Linked DNA regions of Canis lupus familiaris. The main gene of each other region encodes a partner of the protein of the gene in region 3 in a complex. Links are inferred from orthologs where the notes say so. Each region holds a gene or a part of one and is shown on either strand. Other genes may lie near its edges.

Region 1 (4,085 bases), on a different chromosome or scaffold from region 3:
CAAACCAAGGCTTTCCGGGTGCTTAACCCTGGATCTCGGGAGACTACCGCACTCGGGCCTCAGATGGAAACTGAGGCCCAGCGAGCACCCTGCGGCCTGGGCACCGGGACACGGGGAACAGAGCTCCACGGGGTCTCCGAGAGGGGCGCTGATGCCCCGGGCTCCAGGGCGCAGGCCACTACTGGCCCTGAGGCAACCCACGGGGTCCCCGGGAGCCCCCAGCCCCGCAGGGCCGAGGCCCGGGGCCGAGTGTGGGAGCCGAGGCTGGGGCCTGGCGTCCTGCCCAGACGGGGGCAGAAGGGCCTTCCTGAGGCTCCGCGACTCCCATCCCGCAGGAGGCGCCTCCGCCAGAAGGCCCTGCTCCCACAGCCCACGCGCCTGTCACAGGAGGGCGTCTAAAGCAGCCACGCGTGAAAAGGAATCAAATCCAGCTCCCCGAGCCCCATCGGCCCCGACTGCCGTGGGCCCTGTGAGGGAAGGCCCGCCCGGGGTTGCTGGGTGCCCACAGCGCCGAGGAGGGTCCTCCACGCACACGAGCCCCCTCGGCTCCCCGCCAGCCAGAGCTCGGGGACTCCAGCGGCCTCGCCCACGGTGCGCAGGCCCACGCGGCACGCACGGCCCCTTCCCCACTGCGGCTGAGCTCCAGGCAGAGGACTGAGGGCCGCCCGCGCCGGGCACCTGCGGGAGCCGGGGGCGGGGACTCCCGGCTGGGACTCCGGGTCACGGGCCGTGGGCTGTGCTGCAGCACAGCCTTCGGGGCAGGGCCGATGGACGTGCGGGCCTCCCGCCGGGCCGGTGAGGCGCTGTCTTCTGTCCTCAGCAGAGCCGAGACCAGCCCGGAGCGGGCGTGGGGACCACCCACCACGCACCTGTTCCTGCTGCACACGCTCTGGAGAAACCCAAGGCCACTTAGGCACGTGGCCGTGAGTCACAGCTGCTTGGCTGTCTGCAGTGTGCGGACGGGGACGTGGATCCCACGATTAGCACCCACCCCGACCTCAGAGGCCTGGCTGGGGTCTGCCAGCAACTCCTGGGCAGCAGGAAAAGGCCGTCTGCCGGGAGAGCGCCCTCCGCCTCTGGGGGGAAGCTCGCGATCCCCTGCTCAGTCCTGGACGTCACAGGGGACCTGGCCACCTGGGCCCATGTGTTCAGCGCCCCAGGCGTGGGCGTGGGGGCTGCCCAGGGATTGTGGTCCAGCTGGTGCCGTGGCGCTGTGTTCTCTGTCCTAAGAAAACCTGGCAGCACCAGTCAGCACCGCTGTGCCTTGGGGTCCCCTCTGCACCCTCAGGCCTCCGTGGGCGACGCGTCCCGTGCCTCTGCTCCCGTCAGCCCTGCTGAGGACACTATGTCACTGTCCAGGAGGGCCCAGAGCTGGGTCGGTTCACCACGACAGCCCAACCAGGGAGACCCCACACGGGGCGCTTGGACCCCCCTGGCCCGGGGGAGCACACGCGGAGCCCTGAGCCGCAGCTCCAGGCCTCGACCCCAACCCTCGCCCCGAGGCCCGATAGCACAAGCACATCACAGGGACCACCCGCTCCAGCCCCCTGGCTGAAGGTGCGTAGCTCCTGCGTCTCGGCTGCTTTTCTAGGCCACGCACAGCACACGGTCTGGACGATCCCTCAAGGCTTGAGTGACCTGAGACTTGAGACCCTTGTCCCCCAGCCCTGCAGCAGGCCAGGTCTGTGGCCCCACAAGATGAAGGGAGCGAGGCCACTCCCACCACCAGGCAGCAGGCAGGGCGGGAACCAGCTGGCGGGGACCCTCGGGCTAGGCAGGGGCGCCCCACGGGGTCACAGCACAAGTGTCTTGAGAAAATCAGGCTTCCCGCCCCGGACAAAGGCCACGTGTGCTGGCCTCTAAAGGACGACGGCTTCCCCCTTGGGGCCCTGCCCCGCGCCCCCAGCCCTGCGCCCCGCAGCAGGGGTGGCCCGGCCGCCCACCGCGGTCAGCCCGGGCACAGAGACCCCTCGCCCCGACGGCTGCTTCTGGGGCCCGGGAGCGCCTCCGCCAGCGGCCCTCTTTCCTCTCGGGCTAGGAGAGCTTGTCCGCTTCGGCAAGACGCGGTGCTTGGTTCCGGGCGGCCCCGGGCTGCGGGCAGGGCCGGCCGCGCTTCTGGTCACGGGGCAGGGCAGCGGGTCGCCGCGGCCCAGGCGGGGAGCGGCCGCCACGGAAGCGAGCTCGTCTCCTTCAACCCGATGATTCTTTTCCAAACGGGCGCGTCTGCTCGGGGCCGGCGGCGCGGGCGGCGGGTGTCCTTCCCGGGGCGTCGCAGCTCGCGGCACCGGCACCGGGAGCAGGTGGAGGCGCGGCTCCAGGCCGGGGGGCGGCTCGGGCACAGGCAGGACCCGCCTCGCCCGGCCCCGCGAGCCGCCGTCCTCCGGGGCGCGCCCGGCCCCGCCCGCCCCGCCCGCCCCGCCCGGCCCGGCCCGGCCTCCTACCTGGTTGGCGAATCCCCGCAGGTGAGCCATGTCCGCGACGCCCTCCGACCGTCCGCGGCCTCCGGCGGCCCGAGACCCCGCCCGCCGCTCCGGAGCCCGGCCGCCCGCCTAGGCCGCTGCAAGGACCGCGCGCTCACGCCCACGCCCACGCCCCGCCCCGACCCGACCCCGGCCCCGACCCCGCCCCGACCCCGCCGCCCCCCGCGAGCCCCCGGCAGGCCCCGCCCCCCGCCCCGACCCCGGCCCCGCCCCCCGCGAGCCCCGCCCCGGCCCCGGCGCCCCCCGCTCGCCCCCGGCCCCCGCCGCCCGCCCCGCCGCCGACCACCGCCCGGCCCCCGCCCAACCGCCCCAGGCGCGGGCCCACCCGGCAGCGCGCCCACCTCCGGGGGGCTCCATCCCGGCCTCCCCCGGCCCGCTCCTCAGCGCCCGCGAAGGCTCCCACCCGCAGCCTCCTCGCGCCCGGGGACGCCCGGGCCCTCCAGCCCCGGAGCAGCGGCAGTGACGGCGGCGGCCGGAGAAAGCCCAGCGGCGGCGACGGCGAGAGGGCGCGCGACGTCGTGGCCCAGCGCGGGGGTCTCTGGGACACCGAGTTCCGCCGCTCGCCGCGCGTCCCGGTGCCCGCGGGCGCTGGACTACAAGTCCCGGTAAGCCTCGCGGCAGGGCGGTGTCGCGGGGCTCGCCGGGACTCGGAGTCGGGCTTCCTGAGCGGCCGCGGACCACGTCTCCCAGCAGGCCGCGGGGCGGGGCGGGGCCGGGGGCGGGCGGGGCCGGGGCGGGGCCGGGGCGGGGCGTGCAGCCCGGGGTTGGGGCGGCCCCCGGCCGAGCGTCCTCCCGCGGCCCCTCCCCTCCCCCCGCCCCGCGACCCCCACCCGACCCCCCTCCTCCCTTCCGTCCCCTCCGCCGCCTTGGGAGGTGCCGCCTGTTCCCAGGCCCTGCCCGGCCGCGCGGCCCGGGCATCTCCGCGGCGGCTGATGGAGGAGCGAGGAGCGAGCGGTGCTGCGCGCAGGCCGGGGAGCACCAGCCTGGGGAAGGAGGGACCCTGTGGCCTGGAGCCGCGGGACGGCCTGGGGACGGGCTGGGGGAGACCAGCGGACAGGGCGGGCGACGCCACGGCGCAGGTGGGGAAGCCCCGCGGGGTCGGCTTTGCAGGGAGCCGGGACCGGGGCGGGGGCGGGCACCGGGCCTGGGGGTCAGCGATCGGCGCCGCGGCTTCTCCGCGAGGCGAGGGCCCTGGACGCCGGGCGCTCAGTCCTCAGAACTGCTGACGCGGGTAATCGTTTGCGTGTTGTAAGTTACGCGAAATGCGATGAAACAGAAAAGGAACTGAGTTCTGACACGCGTTACAACACGAGCCTTCAAAACCATGCAGCCCGGGGGGCCCAGCGTTCAGCGCCGCCTTCAGCCCCGGTGTGACCCGGAGACCGGATCGAGCCCCACGTCGGGCTCCCTGCACGGGGCCTGCCTCTCCCCCTCTCTCTCTCACGAATAAATAAACTCTTTAAAAAATAAGAATAAAAAACAAAAACTCTATGCTGGGGCACCTGGGGCCTCCGTGGGTTGAGCGACCGACTGTTGGCCCCAGCTCAGGCCTTGGTGTCAGCGGGATGGAGCCGCGCTCAGCAGGGAGCCTGCTGGAGACTCTGC
Region 2 (4,236 bases), on a different chromosome or scaffold from region 3:
ACAAGTAGCTATGGGAAGGGATGGGGGGAGGGGAGGACAGGAACAGGATGTCCTTCCCTGACATGTCCATAACCAGCCTAAATGTTTAATTTTTTTTTCCCCACAACCATCAGGTCTGGTCTTCCAGAAGTCCATTCCACAAAACAAAAGAATTACTAATAACTCATCATGAGGACAAGATAAGGGCTTCATTTCATTATGTGTTAAATTTTTCCAGGCGCCTTCCTTTCATTGTGTTTGCAGCGTGAACTCATCGTGACATAATTTCAGGGGCTTCGGAGGATAACACTTAACAGAGAAACCCTTGAAAGGGACTTTGGTGCACCTTTGGTGGGGCTAAGCCGGTGAACCAGGGGAGAACCTGGAACCGGGACAAGTGAAAAGGGAGAAGCGCCTGGATACCTAGGACTGTTGCAGAGAAGAGAAGGGGACTTTGTTCTCTCGGGGAGCGGGGAGCGGGGAGCGTTGATCTAAAGCACTGTGAGAATTGATCAGGTGCCTGGCAACCTCCCTTTGAACGACAGGAACCGTGTCATTGACCTCTACATCCACAGTGACAGAAATAACCGACAACCAAATATCTACTGAGTTGGACTGAGTAAGAACTGCGCGGGAAAAGGTAGGCGAAAGGAGACGGAAACAACAGCCTTGGGCAGGGGAAGCTTTCCGGGGTCAGGACTGTTGCAAGACTGCAGGAGAAGGGGACTGCGGCCGAGCAGGGCTTCAGAGGCGAGGCGCCGGCCACCCAGAATATAGAAGCTGGAAGGGGGTGGGGGGGTGCAGGAGAGAGGGGTGGTTAGAGTTCTTATTCGTGGAAACTGAGCAGGCAACAGGTCTGAACCCCCGAGAGAAAACGAAAGAGGAGCGACAGCGGTAAGCAGGCATCCAGACTCGAGGAGTGGCCGCAGCCACGGGGAGCGGAGCCCAGCTAGCGGGCGATCCCCGGTCCAGCGGCCGGACCTCCGAGCCCCGCCCCGCGCCGAGCCTGCTCCTCAGCAGAACCACCAGGAAGCCCCGAGAGATGGGCAGCTCAGCCTGGTATCTTGGCGCGACAACTTCCGTGTGTGCGTGTGTGTGTGTGTGTGCAACAGGGCGCGCCGCCTGAGAACTTCCGCGTGCGAGGAGGCGGGGGGACTGGCGAGGAAACCCGCGCGCTCCGGGCCGGCGGGCGCCCCCCCTGCCCCCCCTGCCCCCCCGCCGCGCGCAGGGGCGGACCCGGCGGACCCGGGGGGGCGGGGCTGCGGCCGCGCCCCAGCCGCGGGCAGCCCCACAGGCCGCCGCCGCCGCCGCCGCCGCCGCCGCGCTCGCCGCCGCCACGCCCCGCGACTACATTTCCCAGCAAGCCCCGGGCCTCCCGCGCGCCGCAGTTGACCCATTTCCCGGCCCGTCCCGGGCTCGGCCGGCCCCCGCGCCCAGGCGGCTGCTCCCTGCTGACTGGGGTGTGGGCGGGGAGCGGCGGAGGCAGGAGGAGGCGCTGCTGGCCGCCGCCGTTGCCTCCGCTGCTGGGCGCCTGGGCAGCTCCCGGGGTTCCTGCGGCCGCCATGGACGAGCAGGCGGGTCCCGGCGTCTTCTTCAGCAACAACCACCCGGGCGCCGGCGGTGCCAAGAGTCTCGGGCCTCTGGCGGAGGCTGCCGCGGCTGGCGACGGGGCGGCTGCGGCGGGGGCGGCGCGAGCCCAGTACAGCCTCCCCGGGATCCTGCACTTCCTGCAGCACGAGTGGGCCCGCTTCGAGGTGGAGAGAGCCCAGTGGGAGGTGGAGCGGGCGGAGCTGCAGGTAAAGACCCTCCCGGCCTGGCCCTCCTCATCCCGCCTCTTCGCTGCCTTCCGCCCCGCCCAGGACCCTTCCCCCTTCCCCCCTCCCCTCCCCCCCGCTCGTCCCCTCCCCCTTTGCCTCCCGCCCAGCCCACCCACCACCGCGCCCCTTTACCCCCTTCACCTTTGCCTTTCGCTGACCCCACTTCCTCGACCGGCGTCCCATTCCCGCCCTCGATGCGTTGTTTACCCTCCCCGCTCCTTTCCGTCTGCTCCTTCTCACTCTTAACTCCGTCTCCTTTCAACTCTCTCGCCGTCCCACATTTCAGGTCGTCCCTTTCGGTTTACTAATTGGGCTGACAGTAGTTTCTGAGAGACGTCGAGCAAATCATCCTCTGCCCCAGTGAGTCCCATCCTAGGTCTAGCGATGTTCCTTGCGAAAGGTATTGGTAGTTGGCTCCTGTCTCTGGAAAGAAGGTGATGAAGACAGCACCGAGTCGTGTCCGTGGGGCCTTGACTTGAGGCGAGGAGCTCATGTTGGGCCAAAGTATCAATAGGAATATCAGGTCCTTTTTGGATGTCTGGAAATGTTTTTCTCTCTCCTCTTCCTTACCTCCTCCCGCGTTCCTTTTAGGTATTTCAGGTTCACGGATTTCGATGGAAGGACCCAGATGATCACAGTCAGGTGATGGTTCGGGGATGGTTTCCTGTCCTCGGAATCTGAAACTTGCCAAGGGTTAATTTTATGTCCAGTGCTTAGTGAGATTGGCTTGTACCTTGAAAGGAACTAAGAGGGACTCTAAAGTTGGTTACATTTCCCTTGCATAATCTGCGAGATAAAGTATATCCAGGAAGGAGCTGTTGTGGGCTCTTAGCAGAAAGTGAGGCTGATAGTTTACTGGCCCTTCTGAATTGCTAAGTGGGTTTCAGTGGCTCGTTCTTAAAACTACCAAGGCATGCACCAATTTCACAAGGAACTTAACTGAGTAGTAGCTCTGCCTTTCTGTTTTACTGGCTAATCCTGTGTGCTTAGGAAATCTGAGTATAGTTTTGGTTGGTGAAACACTTGAAGTTAAAACGCTACCCAGTGTGTCACTTTTTTTGGTAACGTGTATTTTCTTTGGCACTTAAAAAAAAAGGAGAAATCTGTTAAATAGAATCATGTGCTGGAACAGGGTGTTTTGGCGTAGTGGAAGTGGCTGTGGAAAGAGGGAGTAGACCGACTTACAGTACCTAATCGCTGCGCTTGCTGCTAGCACTGACCTTGAGGAAATCCTTTGGCCTCTCCGAACTTGTTTCATCTTTTATTTATTCAGTACATTTATTGAGCGCCAGCTGTGTGCCTCTAGGCCCTGGTATTAACAAAACTGACAGCAACTCTGCCCTCATAGAGCTTACATTTTAGTAGGCAGGCAAAGTCAGCAAATGCAAGTGTATAATATACTGAACCTAGTGGCAACTTGGATGAGAAAAATAAATCAGGCACAGGAAATAGAGTGCGATAGGGCAGCTATTTTATTTTAGATGTGGTCGTTAAGGAAGGCCTCTGGGAGGAGTTGAATGAATCAAGGCAATGACCCATAGTTATTAAAATTTTTTCTCTTTCTTTATTTCTACAATTGTATGTTTATATTCTTTGGCAGCTTTTTTATTTCTACTGTTAGGTACTTCAGTATCTAGTCTATGATATTTGTAATTTTTCTCAAAATAAATGTGACCATAATATATAAATATTATATATTTATAAATAACAAGCAGACTTACCTGCCTTTTCTAATTTATTAGTAATTCACTTTATTAGTAATGTGTTCTGTAAATGGGCTTGTGGATTTCAGACTTCAAAAAAGTGTGAAAGGTAGGCTTTAATTTTTGACATTATTCAGGTGTGAAGAATGATTTTTGTATGTGACTGCTTAAATTTTAATTTCCAGTTTAGGGAAGGTGAGTCACACTAATTCGGTCAAAAGCAAGATAATTCTTCTTACTTGTAGAGGTTTGGGAATTTCCAGCTCCTCTCACCCCTTGTCAGATCTCCCAGTGCTCCTCATCCACTCCTCCATTTTAACTTTTCAGTTTACCTGTGGTATTAATTGTAGTCACTCTTCAGTTTTATTTTTTCTTTAAGATTTTATTTATTTATTTATTTATTCACGAGAGACACAGAAAGAGAGGCTGAGACACAGCAGCGGGGAGAGAAGCAGGCTGCATGCAAGGAGCCCTATCCCCGGACTCGATCCCCGGAATCCAGGATCAGGCCCTGGGCCAAAGGCAGACGCTCAACCGTTGAGCCACCCAGGCATCCCTACTCTTCAGTTTTAAACACACACACACAGGCATGTGGGCACGCTACTTCCCGGGTTATTTATGGCAAATGTTAAAGTTCAAGTAGGTTTCCCATTGGTGCTCATCACCTTGAAGGCACTACATTTTTACAGTATATTTGGTTTGCGCTCAGGTTAACTTAAGCATCTGTGGAGGAACGT
Region 3 (3,510 bases):
ACATCACTTCACTTTGGTTTCACACAGCTCTGTTGGGATGTAGGGTGAGAAAACAGACTCACAGGTGAAGTGAATGGCCATACACTCAGCCAAGAGAGAGCAGAGAACCACCCCAAGATGAGGAAGATGATGACAGCCCCAAGAGCTTAGAGGGTGGTGGTGAGGAAGCGACTCAGAGCTTGAACGTGTGAATAGAAGTAGCATTGACCAGAGCATGGTCACTTGGCATTCCAGCTGCAGGGGGGCCTGGGATGCCTGGCTGGGTTGCTGTATGCTTGGCTTAATCTCAGAAAGTTGAAATGCCAGCATAGAGGCCAGGGATGCTAGCGTCTTCTGCCATAGCAGTCAGCAGTTCCTACTGGAAGCATCTTCTGCCATATGGGTCAGCAGTTGAAAAAGGCCTTTGGGTTGAGCATTAGGACTCAGCAGCTCTGTCTTTACATAGTCATCCGTTCTTTTAGCACACCTGGACTGAACTACTGTGCTCATCTCTAGCAGAAACTGGGGTACAGAGAAGAGCCAGTCCTGGACTCCAAATATAAGGACTCTCATAAAGGTGACTTGGGGTTGAGGGGAGTGTAGAGAAAGGATGTGCTCTGGTCTGGTCAGGAAATCTGAACTGAGTCTAGAAGGATGGAGAATTTCTCAGGCTAAAGAGAAAAATTAATTCTTGGCATAGAGGGCAGTGCTGAAGAAAGAAGCTGAACCAAAGCGAAAAGCCCCCATTGACCAGGCTCTGTGCCTATATGCATGGTTTTGTGTGCTCCTCTGTAATTCTCCCTCAGAGAAGTGCGTGCAGGTGCAGAAGTGGGTTTGCAGACTGGTTTCACTCCCCCAGTGTCCCTCACCTAGTGAAGGGCAGAAGGCGGCCTTTGGTGCTCTGTTCCTGACCCAAGTCTGCATCTCCGATCTGTGTACCAGCTCAAGTAGAGGGTGGAGAGACTGAGTGCTTACAGAATGGAGCCTGCTTGCTCCCAGCTTGGGTTACCCAGAATCTTGGGTCAGCTTTGGGGTGGGGCTATAACAGAGTCTGTCTTGGTTCCCCAGATACCATCTACGATGAGGATGAGGTCCTCTTGGCCCTGGCGGAACAGCTGGGAACCTTCACCACGCTGGTGGGAGGCCCCGAGTACGTCCACTGCCTGCTGGTGAGTCTGGGAGGCAGGGAGGTCCCCTTGCCCACCCGTTTGGGGGTCACCTTCAAGGAACAGGCAAGCCTTGGACATTCTCTTTAATCCAGCAGATTAGTAGTGGCATTCATATAGCAATACCAAAGATGTACTTGTTTACCTTCCTGTTAGCTGGGTATGCCTGACCAGTGCCAGGCCCTACCTGGCACTGTACATATAGGGCTCTGGGTGTGGAAGCCATCTGAGTACTACCACTTCTTTGCTGTGTGACTTGTAAGAGTTACTTAACCTCTCTGTTAAACTTTACTCATCCGTAAAATGGGAGTCATTAAAACATCTTTATAATTAATTTAAGCCCCCCCAAAAAATTAATTTAAGCCGTTGGCACATGGCAAGTACCATCAGGTGTTAGCTGCCAGTGTCATTAAGCTGTATGTTTTGAAGTCATGTCCACCCTTTGGGGTAGAGACATTTCTATTTTGTAGATGAGCCACTGGGCATCTGAGAGGTTAAGTGTCTTGGTCAAGGCCTCACAGTCAGTAGCAGAGTTGGGATTCTAGGTGCCTGCCTATGCACCCCTGTGCTTGGTGATGGCTAGGGACACAAAGATGGGTCAGATATTAATAGTAACTGCTATTTGTGAGAAGAGAAAGGAGAATTCCATTGTCACCAGGGAAAGAGTCCAGTCCTGTGATCTGGGAAGGAGAAGCCTCAGGGCTTTCCCAGTCCCCTGGTTTTCATTGTTCCTCAGAGCCCGCGGCCACTGCTACAACCTGCTTCCCTCCCCTCACCCCTGCCCCAATAATTCTGTATGTCATGGTTTCTAAAGATACAGCTTTATATTTGACATCTGCGCTTAATGATGCCTTAACACTTTTCATTAGCAGCCTTCTTCCTCCTTGCATTGTGTGAAATAATGGCACTTCTTAAAATTGGAGGAATTTGGGGTTTGAGCAGATATGGTAACTTTTCTTCCAAGCAGTATTAGGTCTGAAGAAATTGGATAATTGTCATTAAATTCTAGTCTGTCAGCTTTCATCTGTGTGTGCGTGTATAATTGATGTGTATGTATACGTAGACAATTGTATGCAAATGTGATCATTTCCTACATTTTACACAGATTAGGGCTGTTTAACACAAGGAACATGATGAGGTCTGGGGACCAGCCTGAAAAGGGTCCTGTGTGTCCCATGAAACTTTCTGCAAGCCCTAACATTTATCAGTTTTTCTGAGAGAATTTGTGGCTTTCAGCAGCACCTCAAAGGACTTGGGAACAGAAAACGCTGATCCTGTAGCTTTAACAAGGGTCCCTTGGGCCCTCAGGTGGTATAAGACTCAGGCTTGCTGGGGAGCAGGACTGGAACCCTGGAGTCCTTCCCTTACAAGGTCAGGGTCATCCCACACTTACTTTGAGGGAGAGTCACAAGGCCTCTGGGGCTGGTGTTCATGATGTTCACAACAGCTGGCAGACACATCCTGAGGGCCCTGGTCCAGGGAGCACTGGAAACCCAGAGGCCAGGTCCCAGGTCCGAATGCTAGTGCTCCTTGGTACCTGTAGGTACCTTCCACACAGTCACCTGTCATGTCCCTCAGTGACCCTGTGATATACATACTCGTACCAGCCCCAGTTCACAGATGAGGAAACAGGCTCAAGGTCTGGTTTACGAGAATTGACTGAGCTGAGAAGAGACCGTCAGGATTTGAACCCAGTCCCCTGCCTCTTAACCACTGCTGCTCCTTTCTACTACCCTCCCATGGGGCTCTCAGTTGCTCTACAGGCTGATTAGAGCTGGATAAGAGAGAAGCTGGGGGACCTTAGAACCTGGAGGAAGCCCTTCACCTGTTTCAGATGGGATGGGGGAGCTGTCAGTGAAGGCTTCCTGGAGGAGGTGGCAGTGGATCTGGATTTTGACAAAGAGAAATGGAAAATGGCTACTGTGCAGTTTGTTCATTCCACAAACATGAGTACCAGCTATGGGCCTTGGGAACCCAGAGGTGTGTCAGAGCCAATCCCAGCCCTTGTTCTCAGTAGAGGTGAAATGGAGTTAATTTCATAGGGATCCATGTAGCTACAGCACAAGGATTGATTCTGTATCCACAACTTTTAACCCTTTTGGAATTGTGGATCCCTTTGAATATCTGATGAAAACTCTAGAGCCTCTCCTAAAAGTACAGTGATTTTAGGAGGTTCACACCTCCCCCCTCCCCTGTATCTTCTCTGGGTTTGAGAACTCTACCCTCTCTCCTTCATAGAGAGGCCCCCCAGTATAGCTTTTCATTGTGGGAAAGCAGTACTTGAAGTTTCCTAGACCTGCATCTTTCTGGGCCCCACACTGATTTTTTTTATTTGTGCTGAGCCTGGTCTTCTGGGTGATCCTGT

What was found. The genes of interacting proteins can lie anywhere in the genome.
Region 1: PPP2R1A (region 3) and STK25 share a complex: the UniProt entries of both Homo sapiens proteins name them as parts of the core of STRIPAK complex. The link is inferred for Canis lupus familiaris from reciprocal best matches to the Homo sapiens genes PPP2R1A and STK25.
Region 2: PPP2R1A (region 3) and STRN share a complex: the UniProt entries of both Homo sapiens proteins name them as parts of the core of STRIPAK complex. The link is inferred for Canis lupus familiaris from reciprocal best matches to the Homo sapiens genes PPP2R1A and STRN.

What each region holds. Positions count from the first base shown.
Region 1 is NC_049246.1:51,489,562-51,493,646, forward strand, and holds the start of STK25 (serine/threonine-protein kinase 25), read right to left. Parts: upstream 2,794-4,085; intron 2,558-2,793; 5' UTR 2,544-2,557; coding exon of another isoform or gene 2,472-2,543; coding exon 2,442-2,471; intron 1-2,441. Other genes in the region: EZH inhibitory protein-like, read left to right, coding at 2,470-2,543, 2,794-3,085. UniProt on the Homo sapiens protein: Oxidant stress-activated serine/threonine kinase that may play a role in the response to environmental stress.
Region 2 is NC_049238.1:29,519,650-29,523,885, reverse strand, and holds the start of STRN (striatin), read left to right. Parts: upstream 1-1,432; 5' UTR 1,433-1,541; coding exon 1,542-1,775; intron 1,776-4,236. UniProt on the Homo sapiens protein: Calmodulin-binding scaffolding protein which is the center of the striatin-interacting phosphatase and kinase (STRIPAK) complexes.
Region 3 is NC_049222.1:105,616,384-105,619,893, reverse strand, and holds part of PPP2R1A (serine/threonine-protein phosphatase 2A 65 kDa regulatory subunit A alpha isoform), read left to right. Parts: intron 1-1,047; coding exon 1,048-1,148; intron 1,149-3,510. UniProt on the Homo sapiens protein: The PR65 subunit of protein phosphatase 2A serves as a scaffolding molecule to coordinate the assembly of the catalytic subunit and a variable regulatory B subunit.